3 linked regions of the Arabidopsis thaliana genome follow. The protein of the gene in region 1 interacts with the protein of each later gene in a pairwise test. Each region holds a gene or a part of one and is shown on either strand. Other genes may lie near its edges.

What was found. Proteins that work in one complex are often made in the same cells at the same time.
Region 2: the proteins of AT4G00238 (region 1) and HMG interact in binary tests that used the Arabidopsis thaliana proteins (3 or more experiments, as listed by UniProt).
Region 3: the proteins of AT4G00238 (region 1) and AT5G60142 interact in binary tests that used the Arabidopsis thaliana proteins (3 or more experiments, as listed by UniProt).

The regions. Positions count from the first base shown.
Region 1 is NC_003075.7:103,280-106,953, reverse strand, and holds AT4G00238 (DNA-binding storekeeper protein-related transcriptional regulator), read left to right. Parts: upstream 1-1,732; 5' UTR 1,733-1,824; coding exon 1,825-2,862; 3' UTR 2,863-3,131; downstream 3,132-3,674. Other genes in the region: PLDBETA2 (phospholipase D beta 2), read left to right, coding at 5-202, 281-574. UniProt on the Arabidopsis thaliana protein: Transcription repressor that binds DNA in a sequence-specific manner, 5'-GCCT-3', to regulate the expression of PGR. Acts as a modulatory component for the glucose-triggered developmental leaf growth process.
Region 2 is NC_003074.8:10,783,215-10,789,229, forward strand, and holds HMG (high mobility group), read left to right. Parts: upstream 1-1,673; 5' UTR 1,674-1,739; coding exon 1,740-1,793; intron 1,794-2,079; coding exon 2,080-2,265; intron 2,266-2,341; coding exon 2,342-2,447; intron 2,448-2,537; coding exon 2,538-2,674; intron 2,675-2,752; coding exon 2,753-2,836; intron 2,837-2,917; coding exon 2,918-3,012; intron 3,013-3,099; coding exon 3,100-3,208; intron 3,209-3,343; coding exon 3,344-3,430; intron 3,431-3,528; coding exon 3,529-3,621; intron 3,622-3,700; coding exon 3,701-3,898; intron 3,899-3,985; coding exon 3,986-4,131; intron 4,132-4,221; coding exon 4,222-4,369; intron 4,370-4,449; coding exon 4,450-4,557; intron 4,558-4,638; coding exon 4,639-4,821; intron 4,822-4,979; coding exon 4,980-5,058; intron 5,059-5,156; coding exon 5,157-5,284; 3' UTR 5,285-5,515; downstream 5,516-6,015. Other genes in the region: AT3G28720 (uncharacterized protein), read left to right, coding at 1-1,125; CYP81D11 (Cytochrome P450 superfamily protein), read right to left, coding at 5,550-6,015. UniProt on the Arabidopsis thaliana protein: Component of the FACT complex, a general chromatin factor that acts to reorganize nucleosomes. The FACT complex is involved in multiple processes that require DNA as a template such as mRNA elongation, DNA replication and DNA repair.
Region 3 is NC_003076.8:24,215,447-24,219,791, forward strand, and holds AT5G60142 (AP2/B3-like transcriptional factor family protein), read right to left. Parts: upstream 2,304-4,345; 5' UTR 2,146-2,303; coding exon 2,133-2,145; intron 2,019-2,132; coding exon 1,948-2,018; intron 1,907-1,947; exon of another isoform or gene 1,868-1,906; coding exon 1,249-1,867; coding exon of another isoform or gene 1,223-1,248; exon of another isoform or gene 1,163-1,222; coding exon 1,071-1,162; intron 980-1,070; coding exon 734-979; 3' UTR 501-733; downstream 1-500. Other genes in the region: AT5G60150 (uncharacterized protein), read left to right, coding at 2,765-2,939, 3,117-3,314, 3,412-3,665, 3,786-3,868, 3,972-4,135, 4,248-4,345.

The DNA of each region.
Region 1 (3,674 bases):
ATAGGGATTATGTCGAAAGAGCAGAAGATTTATGATATATGTTCATTCAAAAGGGATGGTTGTTGATGATGAGTATGTGGTAATTGGATCTGCAAACATAAACCAAAGATCAATGGAGGGGACAAGAGATACAGAGATTGCAATGGGAGCTTACCAGCCTCAACATACATGGGCACGACGACAGTCAGGTCCTCGGGGTCAGGTAATAGCACACAAAGATAGTACACACATGGTTTCATAGTCCTAGTCGTATCAATAATACTTGGTACATAATCTGCAGATCTACGGATATAGAATGTCGCTTTGGGCAGAACACATGGCACTGCTAGATGATTGCTTTGTGGAGCCAGAGAGTCTAGGGTGTGTAAGGAAAGTGAGAACAGTGGCGGAGGAGAACTGGGAACAGTTTAGGAGTGAGGAAGTGTCGGAGATGAGAGGACATCTGATGAAATATCCGGTGGAAGTTGATCGGAAAGGCAAAGTCCGACCACTTCCAGGAAGTGAGGAGTTCCCTGATGTCGGAGGAAACGTTGTTGGATCCTTTCTAGCCATACAGGAGAATCTCACTATCTAATCATAAGCAGAGTCGCATTTATTAAGAAGACCTTATATGTGTAAACAAACAACAATTGATCAGACTTTGTAAATAAACAAAGTTTGATGTTTCTCCTCAAGTTTGAATAACAAGTAAAAAGAAGCTACTTAATCCTAATTCTATTTAGAATAAGAAATCATGTACATGAAAAAGCTTTGGCCTGGCTATAAAATCCGAAATCCGAAAACCGATCCGGAACCGAACTTGAACCGAATAGTTACAAAATCCGAATGGATAATGAATTCTCCTATCCGAATTACTCGAACCGAATCCGATCCGAACCGAAATCCGAGAGGATATCCGAAAACTGAAAAATATATATATCCAAAAATATTATTTATATTTAGTTGTAATTTTATAATAAATAACAAAATATCCTAAATAATAAAGAAATTGGAAATCTTTTAGTTACATTTGTTAATAGTATACATACTTTTGCAAAATTTAACCAAATTTTAGTAAAGATTAAACCAATTTTTATTTAAGTTGAACAATTTTTAGCTCTTTAAAAACCGGTCCGAATCCGACACTTATCCGAACAAAAACCAAACCAAAGATTAGTAAAATCCGAACGGATAATAAATTTTCTATCCAAATTATCCGAATCCGAAAATATCCGATCCGAATTCGATCCGAAAATTCATAAAATCCGTACGGATAATAAGTTCTCCTATCCTAATGATCCGAATCCGAATATATCCGATTCGAAATCCGAATGTCCAAGCCTAGCCTGGCTACTAAACTTTGTCTATATTTAACGGCAAAGATCTCTAGCAGTAGTAGTATCATTCAAAAAATGAGAAGACTGTTACAGAGACTAAAGAGAGTGTGTACCATGCGTATCAGATTCAAACTAATAATGTTAGCAACCCCTGAAGAAGATAAGACTATATGCTTATTGTAGCCTTTATTCTCTGTTGAATCCTAGCAATGAACATTATAGGCAGAGCAAAACGACTAATATGAAATGGAGAACACTAGACAAGACCAACCGATGATACTTAGTCTAAAGTCAATACCTTGTCCCTATCAAGCCCACCAAAACTCTTAGCAGACAACATTCGAACAACCTTAATTTGTTGTTGGGCTTTGTTTAATTAGATTGTTTGTTAAATATAAAAGAGAGTGAAGAATGTTCAGCGTTAAAGGAAAAAAAGTCTCGCCGCTCACTAACCCTAAAAAAAGTAACTCTCTCACTCACTCTTCTTCATCATACCGAAAAAAATCCAATGGCTTCTTTGGAAAATCCAGCAATCGATTCTTCAAGCGAATTTGAGAGTTCTTCTGAAGAGATCTCTTCTTCTAAAGAAAGCAAACCCAAAGAAGCTCCCGTCACTGTTCCGTCAACAAAAACCCTAAACTCTCCTTCCGCCGCCGTGGCAGTTTCTGATGACTCAGAGTCAGAGAAGCAGTCATTCGTCTTAACCAGGCGGAAGAAGAAAGAAGGTGCTGCTGAATCACCGGCAGTGAAGTCAGGGAAGAAAGAAGGTGCTGCTGAATCACCGGCAGTGAAGTCAGGGAATAACGAAGGTGCTACTGAATCACCGGCGGTGAAGTCAGGGAAGAAGCGAGCTAGCGAAGGAACCACGTCAAGGGACATGCATGTCAAAAGAATTAAGAAAGAGGGCGATAACAAAAAGGGGCATGCTCAGAGAGTATGGAGTGAAGAAGACGAGATCTCTCTCCTGCAAGCAATGATCGATTTCAAAGCTGAGACAGGTACAAGTCCTTGGGATCATAAGGATAGGTTTTTTGATATCGCCAAGAAATCTATAAGCTTTGATGTTAGTAAAGTCCAGTTCTTTGACAAGATTAGAAGCTTTAAGAGAAAGTATTTTGGTGACCGGAAGGTGAGAAGTGTTGAATCGGATCATGATAAGAAGTGTTTGGGTTTGGCTGTTTCTTTTTGGGGATCTGATGGTGTGAGCCTTGAAACTCCTGTGAAGAAGAAAGTGAAAGATGAATCTGTTCTTGTTAAGGCTAATAGCAAGGAGAAGAACGTGAAACCTTTGGTTAAAGAAGATGAGCAAGTCGTGATTCTTGGAGAAGATTCGGAGTGGTTTGAGGAGTCTTTTCTTGTTCCGGTTATCGCTAGTCTCGGTTTGGATGAGTATTCTGTGAAGAAGAAGTGGAGCAAGGTGTCCGTGGAGACTAAGAAGAGGATTCAAGAGAAGATGAAGCTTGTGGATGCTAAGAAATGTGAGTTGTTGTTGGCGAACATGGATGTTTTGAAGGAGGTGACTTCAGTGCTTACTCAAACCAACTAAGAAGAAGAAGAGGAAGCTATTGGATTGTATATGTTTATCCGTTTAATCTCGGGTTTAATGAAGATGTAATGCCTTATTTTGTTATCTATCTTAGGCTTCATCTTTCTATCTACTCTAATGAACTTTTAGGACTTTGGATTCTCGTGTGAGAATTAGCTTTGTCTAACAAGCCTTTTGGTCGATGGTTGTAATGAATTAGCTAAGTTGTCTAACTAGCCTTTTGGTCTATGGTTATAATGAACTTTTAAGACTTTGTAAATGTGCTTCTTATATGAATGTCTCTCTACTCGTAACCAGAGTTATTACAAAACAAAGAAACACACAACAGAATGTGGGAGATTGTTAGCTATCATACCAATTGAATTTTTACATGTTGTGGTTACTACTAACTACTGTCCCAATTTCATATCACTTGTTGAGCTCTTGCTCTGCTTACACTCTCCTTTAGCTCAGCAACTACATGACTCATCCTCGGTCTATTCTTAGAACTAGAAGATGCACAAGCCATTGCTACTTCAGTGATCTTCCATGCCGAACCAGCATCAAACCTCTCCCCTAGCTTTGGATCCACAATGCCTCTGATATCTCCTGTCGACAGCATTAAAGTCGACTCAGTTATGTGTATGTTCTCTGCTGTTGTTCTTGAACGTGCAATCACCGGTTGGCCTGTGACAACCTCTAAAAGAACAACCCCGAAGCTCTAAACATCACTTTTCTCGCTTAATTCTTGCGGTCAAATGGTACCTTCATTTTGTAAAACAATGTCTACAGCAGCAAAAGACCAGTGACCAAAACAAAGTAGCAAATAGACT
Region 2 (6,015 bases), on another chromosome or scaffold:
ACGTTGGTGGTTCAGTTTATTCATGTGTATGGGTCAGAGGTTAAGGATTCGAGTGGGTTAGATTTGGAGTTTGTGAAGAGAACGTTTATGGATGAAGCTGAGAGTGGTGGGTTGTTGTTAGGTGAACAGAAGTTGAGTTTTAAGAGTTATAGTGTGAATTATAGAGAATGTTCGATTTGTTCGTTTGCGGTATCTCGTGGGATGAATTCGTATACTTCTAGGTTTTTGTTTGATAACTATACTTTGATTGTGAGTGAGTATTTGGATTCTAAGCATATGCATCGGGCGTTGACTGATTCGGCTGAGGAGTTGAGGAGAGTTGCGGGGATTGTTGAAGAAGAAGGAAATGAGTTTGCTAGGGTTTTACCTGTTTATGTGTTTGATTTGGATATCAATACGCCTTTGTTGCTTGATCGGTATCATCAGTCTGTTGCTTTTAGAGATATGGTGATTGCTGTTAGAACTAGAGGAACTCAAACGGTTAGTGATTATACTTGCAACGGGCGTCATGTGTTTGTTCATACGAGAGACTTAGAACGACCTCTCGTTGGTTCCATTCTGCAGAGTATGTGGGGTGTATCTTCTACTCATTTGACATGGAGCCCGAGACATAACACAACTCTAGTTGATTATACATGGAGCATTGGGCAAACACCGTTTGGACCATTCTCTGATATCTCGTCTCTATCGTTTGTTCAGAAAGATGCTGCTAAGAGAAACGTGATTTTGACATCTTTGAACACAACTATCACAAGTGCAATCGATGTTATCGATTCCGCGGTTGCATATGGAGGAGATGTGATCCTACGGAAACAGAATCGCCACTCTGAGTTCATGCAAAGGTGGAATCTTATGCAGTACAAGCTGGATAAAACGGTTTCTGCTCTATCACACAATGAGTTCGAGATGGCTTTGTTCTACTTAAGATCAGCTTCACACGACTTGTACTCAGTGCATTCAGTAGTGTACCTCGCGTCACAACGGGTAGAAGCGAGTCTCAACTGTTTCAAAGATCCACCGTTCCCATGGGGAACTGTTTCAGTGTCGGGATTCGGGTTAATGGCTGTTGGTTACGTGTTCTCGAAAAGAGATAGACTCTTTAGGAACAAACGAAAACAGTTCTGAAGAATTCTAGCAATGCAGGGTAATTTATAGTCATTACATTGGATAAAAAGACTTTGATAGTTTGGTTTTTGAGGTTAATACAACATGTACTACTATTATGAGCTTGTTTCCATTTGGTAATGTTGAACAATAGAGACAATGCTCGGATCCTCTGTTTGGTTGTCTATTTATTTTGAATAGCTCCATCACATTCCTATTGTCTCCTTCAATAATCACTTCTCCATACCCTTAGACCGGTTTTCCCCTCCTAACCAAAGCCAAACAAAACCGAAGTAACCGGTTTGGTAAACCGAACCCGCATGCCTACATAATTGATATAAAATTCTGTTTTATAAGAGGTTTCTTTTCCAAATGTGAAAAAATCCAAAACTCAAAACAACCTTCTGTTTTTACCGTTTTTTGATAAAGGTCTTTTTCCCAAATCTGCAAAACCAAAAACTCAAAAATTCAATTAAACCGGAAAATCTAATTTTCGAAAATTGGTTTTCTTCCCAAAATTAAACCGCCTGAGTGTCTATGTATAAAAGTTGATATCATAGTTTGGAAAAAAAAAAATCACTCTCTCTCTTTCGCTCTCGCTTTCTCGTCTCTCTCGTGTCTCTCAACAGAAAACCATGGCGGACGGCCACTCCTTCAATAATATCTCTCTCAGCGGTCGCGGTGGAAAGGTACCATCTTCTCTCTCTGTCTCCTTCTATCTCTCAAGATCTTTCAATTCCTTCAAAGTTTTCACCTTTTCCTCTTCCTTCGAAAACCCTAATCTCCTTTCTCTGTATCCCCTTTTGCTTCCGCCGCTCGATTCTTAAAGAACTCAATGAGTCAAATTTAGGGTTAAAAAAAAGATTGTCGCTTTCATTTTTCAGTTGTGTTGTTTTCTTGTTTACAATTGTTAAAGCTGCGGTAGTTTTTAGGGTTTTCTTAAGGCTAATTAGGGTTTCAATTTTGGTTTTTTAGAACCCGGGTTTACTTAAAATCAATTCTGGAGGAATTCAATGGAAGAAACAAGGTGGTGGAAAAGCTGTGGAAGTTGATAGATCTGATATTGTAAGTGTTAGTTGGACGAAAGTGACAAAGAGTAATCAATTGGGAGTCAAAACCAAAGATGGATTGTACTACAAGTTCGTTGGATTTCGAGATCAGGTTTGTGTGTGTATATCTTTTTTATTTGATTTGATATTGTAATGTTTGTGCTTGTTCTGATTCCTTTGTTTTGTAGGATGTTCCAAGTCTGTCTAGCTTTTTCCAAAGTTCTTATGGAAAAACACCGGATGAGAAGCAATTATCAGTTAGTGGTCGTAATTGGGGAGAGGTGGATTTACACGGTGAGAGTTCTTATAGCTTTTAGGCTTTACTTGTGGTTGTCTAGTTTCATTTGTGGATCTAAAGGGAGAATTTTTTGTTTCTTTGTGTAGGGAATACACTAACCTTTTTGGTTGGATCAAAACAAGCTTTTGAAGTATCTTTAGCTGATGTTTCACAGACTCAGCTTCAAGGGAAAAATGATGTTACTTTGGAGTTTCATGTTGATGATACTGCTGGTGCTAATGAGGTACTGGTTTCTTTTGATATGTAATCTCTAGGCTGTTATGTATGTACATTTACTGATTTATATTCTACGTGTTTACAGAAAGACTCGCTGATGGAGATTAGTTTTCATATTCCTAATTCCAACACTCAGTTTGTTGGTGATGAAAACCGTCCACCTTCTCAAGTGAGTTCCCAAACTATTTTCATTATATGTATGTGCCTCAAGTATATATTTTTTTCTGTTGATGCTAAAAGAATGTCTCAGGTTTTCAATGACACAATCGTTGCAATGGCTGATGTTAGTCCTGGAGTTGAGGATGCGGTCGTCACATTTGAGAGTATTGCAATCCTCACACCCAGGTAAAGAGTTGATTACTTAAACATTTGTTGCACTATTGTATGGCTTCATCTTGTCATGACTAAATGATTTGGTTGTTTCTATCACAGGGGTCGGTACAATGTGGAACTTCACCTTTCTTTCTTACGATTGCAAGGACAAGCTAATGACTTTAAAATCCAGTACAGTAGCGTTGTCCGTTTGTTCTTGCTTCCAAAGGTAATTCTTTTTTAAGCATATCTCAGGGCAGTTACCTATGTTAGCAGTCATCAGATTAAAGGGATTATCGTATTATGATCACTGAATCGTGTTCACATTAATTGAGTTCGTATTTTTTTTTATATGCCTGAGCAGTCAAACCAACCACACACGTTTGTTGTTATCTCTCTAGACCCACCAATCCGGAAAGGTCAGACAATGTACCCCCACATTGTTATGCAGGTAAACATTACTTACATTTTTCCTTCCATTTCAATTTTCTATGTATAATTTTCGTTTTTTTACTCTGATTTACATAACTGTTTTTGCATCTTCTCCAGTTTGAAACAGACACCGTTGTCGAAAGTGAACTGTCAATTAGTGATGAACTTATGAATACAAAGTTCAAGGACAAGCTGGAGCGATCATATAAGGTTTCTGTCTGGTCTGCACTTACATTATTGTTCCTGAATAAAAAAATTTATACATACGCTGAATTGTATGAATTTTCAGGGTCTCATTCATGAAGTATTCACCACCGTGTTGCGTTGGCTGTCTGGTGCAAAGATCACTAAACCTGGGAAGTTCCGCAGTTCCCAAGATGGGTTTGCAGTGAAATCGTCTCTCAAGGCAGAAGATGGGGTTCTTTATCCACTCGAGAAGGGATTTTTCTTCTTACCTAAACCTCCAACGCTTATACTTCACGATGAGGTAAATTATGGTTATTAAGGATTGGAGATTTTTTATAGGCTTTGAGATAGAGTTGGGTTTTCTAACCTGTTTTTTTTTCGTTTTTAGATTGACTATGTCGAGTTTGAAAGGCATGCTGCTGGTGGTGCTAACATGCATTACTTTGATCTTCTCATAAGACTGAAAACTGACCATGAACATCTGTTCCGTAACATTCAAAGAAATGAGTATCACAATCTCTATACCTTCATAAGGTTAGCGCGGATTATTTCATTGTCTCCGTCTATATTTACTGAGTGCATTTAAGATTTGTGGTGAATATTCCTTATGTTTTCTTGCTGCAGCTCTAAGGGTTTGAAGATTATGAACCTTGGAGGTGCGGGTACCGCAGACGGTGTTGCTGCTGTTCTTGGGGATAATGATGATGATGATGCTGTTGACCCTCATCTTACGCGTATCAGAAACCAAGCTGCTGATGAGAGTGATGAGGAGGCAAGTACTTTATGTCTGACCGAATTACTTCATATTCTAATGATCATGTGTTTGATAATCGAGACTTTTAATTTATGAAGGACGAAGACTTTGTTATGGGTGAGGATGATGATGGTGGTTCACCAACTGATGATTCTGGCGGGGACGACTCTGATGCTAGTGAAGGCGGTGTAGGAGAGATAAAAGAGGTAAACTTTTGTCGCATTCATTCGAACTCTTTCAGCAGCAGTATTTGTTTCTCATATCTTCCTGTCATTGACTTGTTATAGAAATCTATCAAGAAGGAACCTAAGAAAGAGGCTTCGTCATCGAAAGGATTGCCTCCTAAGAGGAAAACTGTAGCCGCAGACGAAGGCAGTAGTAAGAGGAAGAAGCCGAAGAAGAAGAAGGATCCCAACGCACCAAAAAGAGCAATGTCTGGTTTCATGTTCTTTTCCCAAATGGAAAGAGATGTGAGTTCTTCTCTCCTTTCTTTTACTTTTACCTCTATGATGTAGGCTAAGTTGCGAAATGGAGTATCCTCGGTCTATTACATACATGAGAGCAAACAATTAACAGACAAACTTAGCACATTCCTGATTATGTCATTTTCCATTTGTGAACTGAACAGAACATAAAGAAGGAACACCCAGGAATAGCATTTGGAGAGGTGGGAAAGGTGCTTGGAGATAAGTGGCGTCAAATGTCTGGTAAAAAATTTGAAGATCCTTTTCAAAAGTAAATACATTACTTGGTTTTACTTTATCATGTGAATGTGTTTTAATTCCCCAACCGTGTGTATGTATAGCTGATGATAAAGAGCCATATGAAGCCAAGGCTCAAGTCGACAAGCAGCGATACAAGGATGAGATCAGTGATTACAAGAACCCTCAGCCGATGAATGTGGACTCAGGAAACGATTCCGATAGTAACTAAACTTTGATTCTCCAACATTCTCTACTAGTATCTCATTTACCTACAATACTAAGTTATGGCATGTAGTAAACGTTGGACCTTTAGTTGTTTGGAGTTAACCAGATTTTTCTCTTTGACCTTAAAGATCTTGTGTTACTTCCTAGAAAAGAAGAGCCTGTCTTTACCTCAAAATATAGAGTACTCTGGTAAGGCCATAGCTAAGAAGCAACAAAACAGATCGTGTTTCTATCGAAATTGTTATACAAGAGGTTCTGTATGATGAAAGTTATGGACAAGAAGCATCTAAAACCTTATGGACAATGGGACGAGCTTTACACATAGCTTGCAACGATGTAGCTTTTCGCATTGTGGTTCCTTTTTCACTTTCTCTCATGTCTAGATACTTTTCTTCAACCCTCTCCCACTCAAAACATTGGACCAATGATCCAAGAGCCAAAGTCACTAGCCGTTGAGCTAGCCCTGAACCAGGGCAAGATCGTCGTCCAATCCCAAATGGCATCAACTTTTTATCCTCTCCTTTTTTCTCAAACCTCTCCGGCTTAAATTTTTCTGGCTCTTCCCATAACTTTGGATCTCTATGGATGGCCCATGCATTCACCAAGATGATTGTGCCGCGTGGAACGTCATAGCCATCAACTATACAATCTTCTGATGCTAAGTGGGGTAAAAGCATTGGAGCCACCGGATAAAGCCGTAAAGTCTCTGACACAATGTGCTGAAGGTAAGGAAGT
Region 3 (4,345 bases), on another chromosome or scaffold:
CAGATGTGATTTGATCTAAAGGTGTTGGCCTTTTGTAGCAAAAACTTGCAAAAACAGAGGGTTCTCTCTGTTTCGATGCTTTTTCCTTCAAATGGAAAACAAACCATTAATAGTACTCTTCTTATTCAAAAATAATTCGTTAAGCGGACCAAGGTATCGCTAAGGCCCAAACAAAAAACAAGAAATGGGCCTTAAGTTTGGTTCAATCTATATCGTGTAAATGACATTATCGTCCTTAAACAAAAGAACCACAGTAAAGAGTCGAGAAGGGTATATTAGAGAAAGAAGGACTTGTGACATCTCAATTCTTGAACAAGAAACTTGAAACTTGAAAGAAGAATGAGATAGTGTTAAGTGGCAGAGTTCCAAGTATCTTAGTATTATTCTCCTCCTATGCCAATGCTTTTCTTATGATCACATAGAGAGTAATAACATTCTTTTTACATGAACTCGCAGGTTTTAAACAGCCCTGATGTGTGAACCATTCATAATGATTTCTCCCAAAATCTATAGCTCTAGTATACATTATTATTGTAAGACTGTGTTGATCGTCTTTTGCACTTCATGTTTCAGACAAACAAACAAAATCAAGAAGTGTATAGAAAGCATCAACATCGATTATGTTCCGAGAAAACCAATAAGATTCATAAAACCAAGTACTCTACTCATATAAAAACTCTCAAGTAAAAATAGATAATGTCTTGGAGTTAACGCATAAAGCCTTATCAAGAGATCATCCTCTTATAACATGGACCTTGATTTCTCGAACAAGACCATCCATCTCCTTTTCTAACTCACAAATCACCTTGTCATTCAACTTCACATTATTCCTTCTGATTATACTACGGAATCCCTTGATTGTTTGACCCTTAACTTTCCTCTTCAATTTACCAAAGTTTTTCTCGAGTGGATCAATCAAATTGATGAACTCAGGGAAGTGTAAGCCATACTTCGTTATGACCTTAGTTGGTATGCGCAGCTGCATTACAAAGATAACATCATAAAACAGAAGTGGTACATTATTTTAATGAAAATGCAAAAAGACATGAGACTTTCTTCACATTTCTTACCATATTATATTTTATTTGCCGATGCTGGTTCACTGTAAAGAAAGGGTTCATGTGATTATCCAGATATTGTCTGTCATGCTCTCCAGAAGAACCTATCAAAATTTATACGCAAGAAAATAAAAAGACAGTGATGCTCTCAGTCTCAGTTAACTTCACAAGACAAAAGTTTCTATTATACCTTTCTTTTTTTTCTCTGTTTTGACTCCTCTCCATCTTTCTTTCTCAACATCAGCATGATCATCGTCACCATAATCTTGATCATCATCATCATCATCATCATCAATAACTATGATATCTTCACTAGATGTATCTTCCTCAACATAATCTTGAACATCATTAATATCATCATTATCAGCATCATCAAGAGCTGTAATATCTTCACTAGATGTATCTTCCTCATTATAATCTTGAACATCACTAATATCATCATCATCAAGAACTATGAAATTTTCACTAGATTTAACTTCTTCCCCATAATCTTGATCATCATTAAAACCATCATCATTGTCATCAAGAACCGTGATTTGCACTGAACTTCTAAGCCTTTTACACGTTGCACGACCATAGATACAGAAATTGAAACACCAAGAGCCATCAAACTCAAATTCTAAGAACTCTCCACCTTTCAAATCTTCGTCCTTGACTATCTTCTTCCACCCATTAACCATAACAAATCTCTCACTATCACCACAAAACTTCCTAAACGCCACTTTCCAGATGTTTCCATAAATGCTTCTAACAATTACATTTTTAGGCAACGACTTTGGTAAAAAGCTGTTGAAAGAGATGGGTAATTCCTGAAGAGGAAGGATCTAAAAGTTTCAATAAACTAAAAATCTACATATAACCAAAAACAGAGAGAGAAGTGTATTTTTACCAAATCATCTCCGGAATCATCAGGTAAGTACACTTTGAAGAACTTTGGAAGACAATCATCCACAGAAATTCCTGTTCCAAAGCAAGAAAAAAATCAGAACATAGGATAGGTTATGTGATTGGAGAATCAAGAACAAACAATAGCATAAAGATCTTAACATAAAAACAAGAGTCTAAAGAAGAAACCTCTGTTCATCATCTTCACCTCTTTGAAACCCTAACTCTTTTAGTGAAAGTGAAGGTGAAAATGGTTCTTGAAAATAGAAAAGTAAAAGAGCTTTGTTAATAGATCTCCGATCTTTTGGTTTGCTTTAGAGATTTTGCCTTTTGTAGCATAACACAGAGACTGTATTGTCTTCTAGGCTTATTGCTACAAATGGAAAAATAAAACATGTGCTAACTACTTTTACTTCAATGCTCCATGAACCGAACCGATATGATTTTAATCAAACCGAAAAAATATTATCCTAACCAAACCAAACCAATAAAGGGTGAACGAGAATTTAAAATTCAAATAAATGGGCTTTAAAGTCCGGCCCAATCGATTTGCTTTAAATGACAATAATAACCTGAGATTATAGAGAACGTTGGTCCGATCTTCTTTCAATTTCAAGTTTTTCAACCTCTTCCCGCTTACGAGGCCGGGATATTCTATCAACAGTCGTCTCTTCCATCGGCCGAACAATTTCCGATTTACCGACTAGGATTTTCGCCTACAACTTCCGAAGAGATTTTCTCAGTGTAAGTTTGAAAAAACCTAGCTATAGGATTCCGGATTTCCTAATCGTCAGATCTTGGGCTCGAAAGAGAAGCTAGAAATGGATAAGGATCTCTTAGATATCTCTGGAGAAGACGACGAAGATAATTGGCTTCTGAAGAATACGCCGAAGAAAACTAATTCGAGCCGAGGAAAGAGTTATTTGAAATGCTCACCTCTCCAAATCCCTAGATCTAGTCGTATCGTTCCTACTCGGCCTCCTTTTTCCCCAATTGGTAAGCGCTTCAATTTCTCGTTCTCGATCCGAGCTTCGTTCTGATAATTTCTCTCTCCCTTTGTTAGAGTGTTTAAGCATCTGAATTAGCATTGTTTAAATCTTAATTTGATAAAATAGCAAATTAGTATAAATGTTGTGTATTCTGCGGATATATGAAGGTTAATACTTTTTGCAGGAAGAGTAACAGGCACCAGCAACAACAGGGAGCAGCCATGCGCTTCAGTTGATACAGATAGTGTAGGAAAGGAGAATGCTAAAGTTGAATTGCCCAAATTGAGTGTGGAGCGACAACAGATGAAGAAGAAGAAAAAGAATGCAGGGTTTAATTTGCGCAAGAGTTTAGCATGGGATAGAGCTTTTTCAACGGAAGAAGGTGACTTTTTTTTACCAATTTCCTGTTAGTAGTAAAGGTCAAAGATTTGGTCTATGTTACTAAGAATCTTAAGATGTGTGATATGGTCATGAACCAGGTGTTTTGGATTCATCTGAGTTATCTAAAATAACTGGAACTGCTTGCCATCTTGGTGGAGATCGGTTAGCTGCCATTCAGGAAGAGTACAGAGAGTCAATGTCAGCTTCCAAATGTAATGTTTCACCAGGACTACAAGCACTTGAAGAAAACTTATTTAACGACTTGCCTGTGAATAGTAAAAACAGAGAGAAGAAGCTTGTCAGTGGCATAATGCCCAAGTACGGATCACCATCTAAATCCCAATCTTCCTCGGTGAGTTTACTGGACCTAAATATTGTGGAGCTAATGAGGGTCATAAGTCGTTTCTTTCCTTGCGTAAATATATATATTTTGAGGCGCAGTCTATCTAAATGTCGAATATCTGCATTATAGGCCCAGAAAAAAGTTATCTCAGCTCAGGATTTAAGGAGTGGTTCCAAGCGCAGTGGCTGTCCCCGGCCTCCTCCTTCATCTTCATATCCTTTTCTTACTTTGAGTACTGAGTGTATAGGCAATCTTGATATCCTTTGCAGGTCTTGTTTGTGTTCTTTTTGCTTGTTTACCTTAACCATCTTGCACCCTGAAAAGACCTGCAAATGTGCATACAACAACATCACGTTGCAGGGAGCTGAGCATATCTAAAGTTCCTACTACCAAATCTGACCCAGTTACAGTTGGAAACAACATGAAAAGGACTACTCAAAGTCCAATCAAAGCGAAAAACAGTCAACCTACTCAATTAAGTATGTTCACTTCAGTTAGCAAATAAAAACTATTCATCTCATATCCTTTTTAGTTCTGTTACTTTTCATCCTGTTTATATATTGCTACATGGTTTTTTGTCTGATATGACAGAGAATTCTCAGAGGAGCTTAGGATCTGAAAGCTTCTCTAAAAACACTTCAAGCACCAAGAGTAAAACAAAATCCAGTCTGGCGAGTAAATCTTCAATT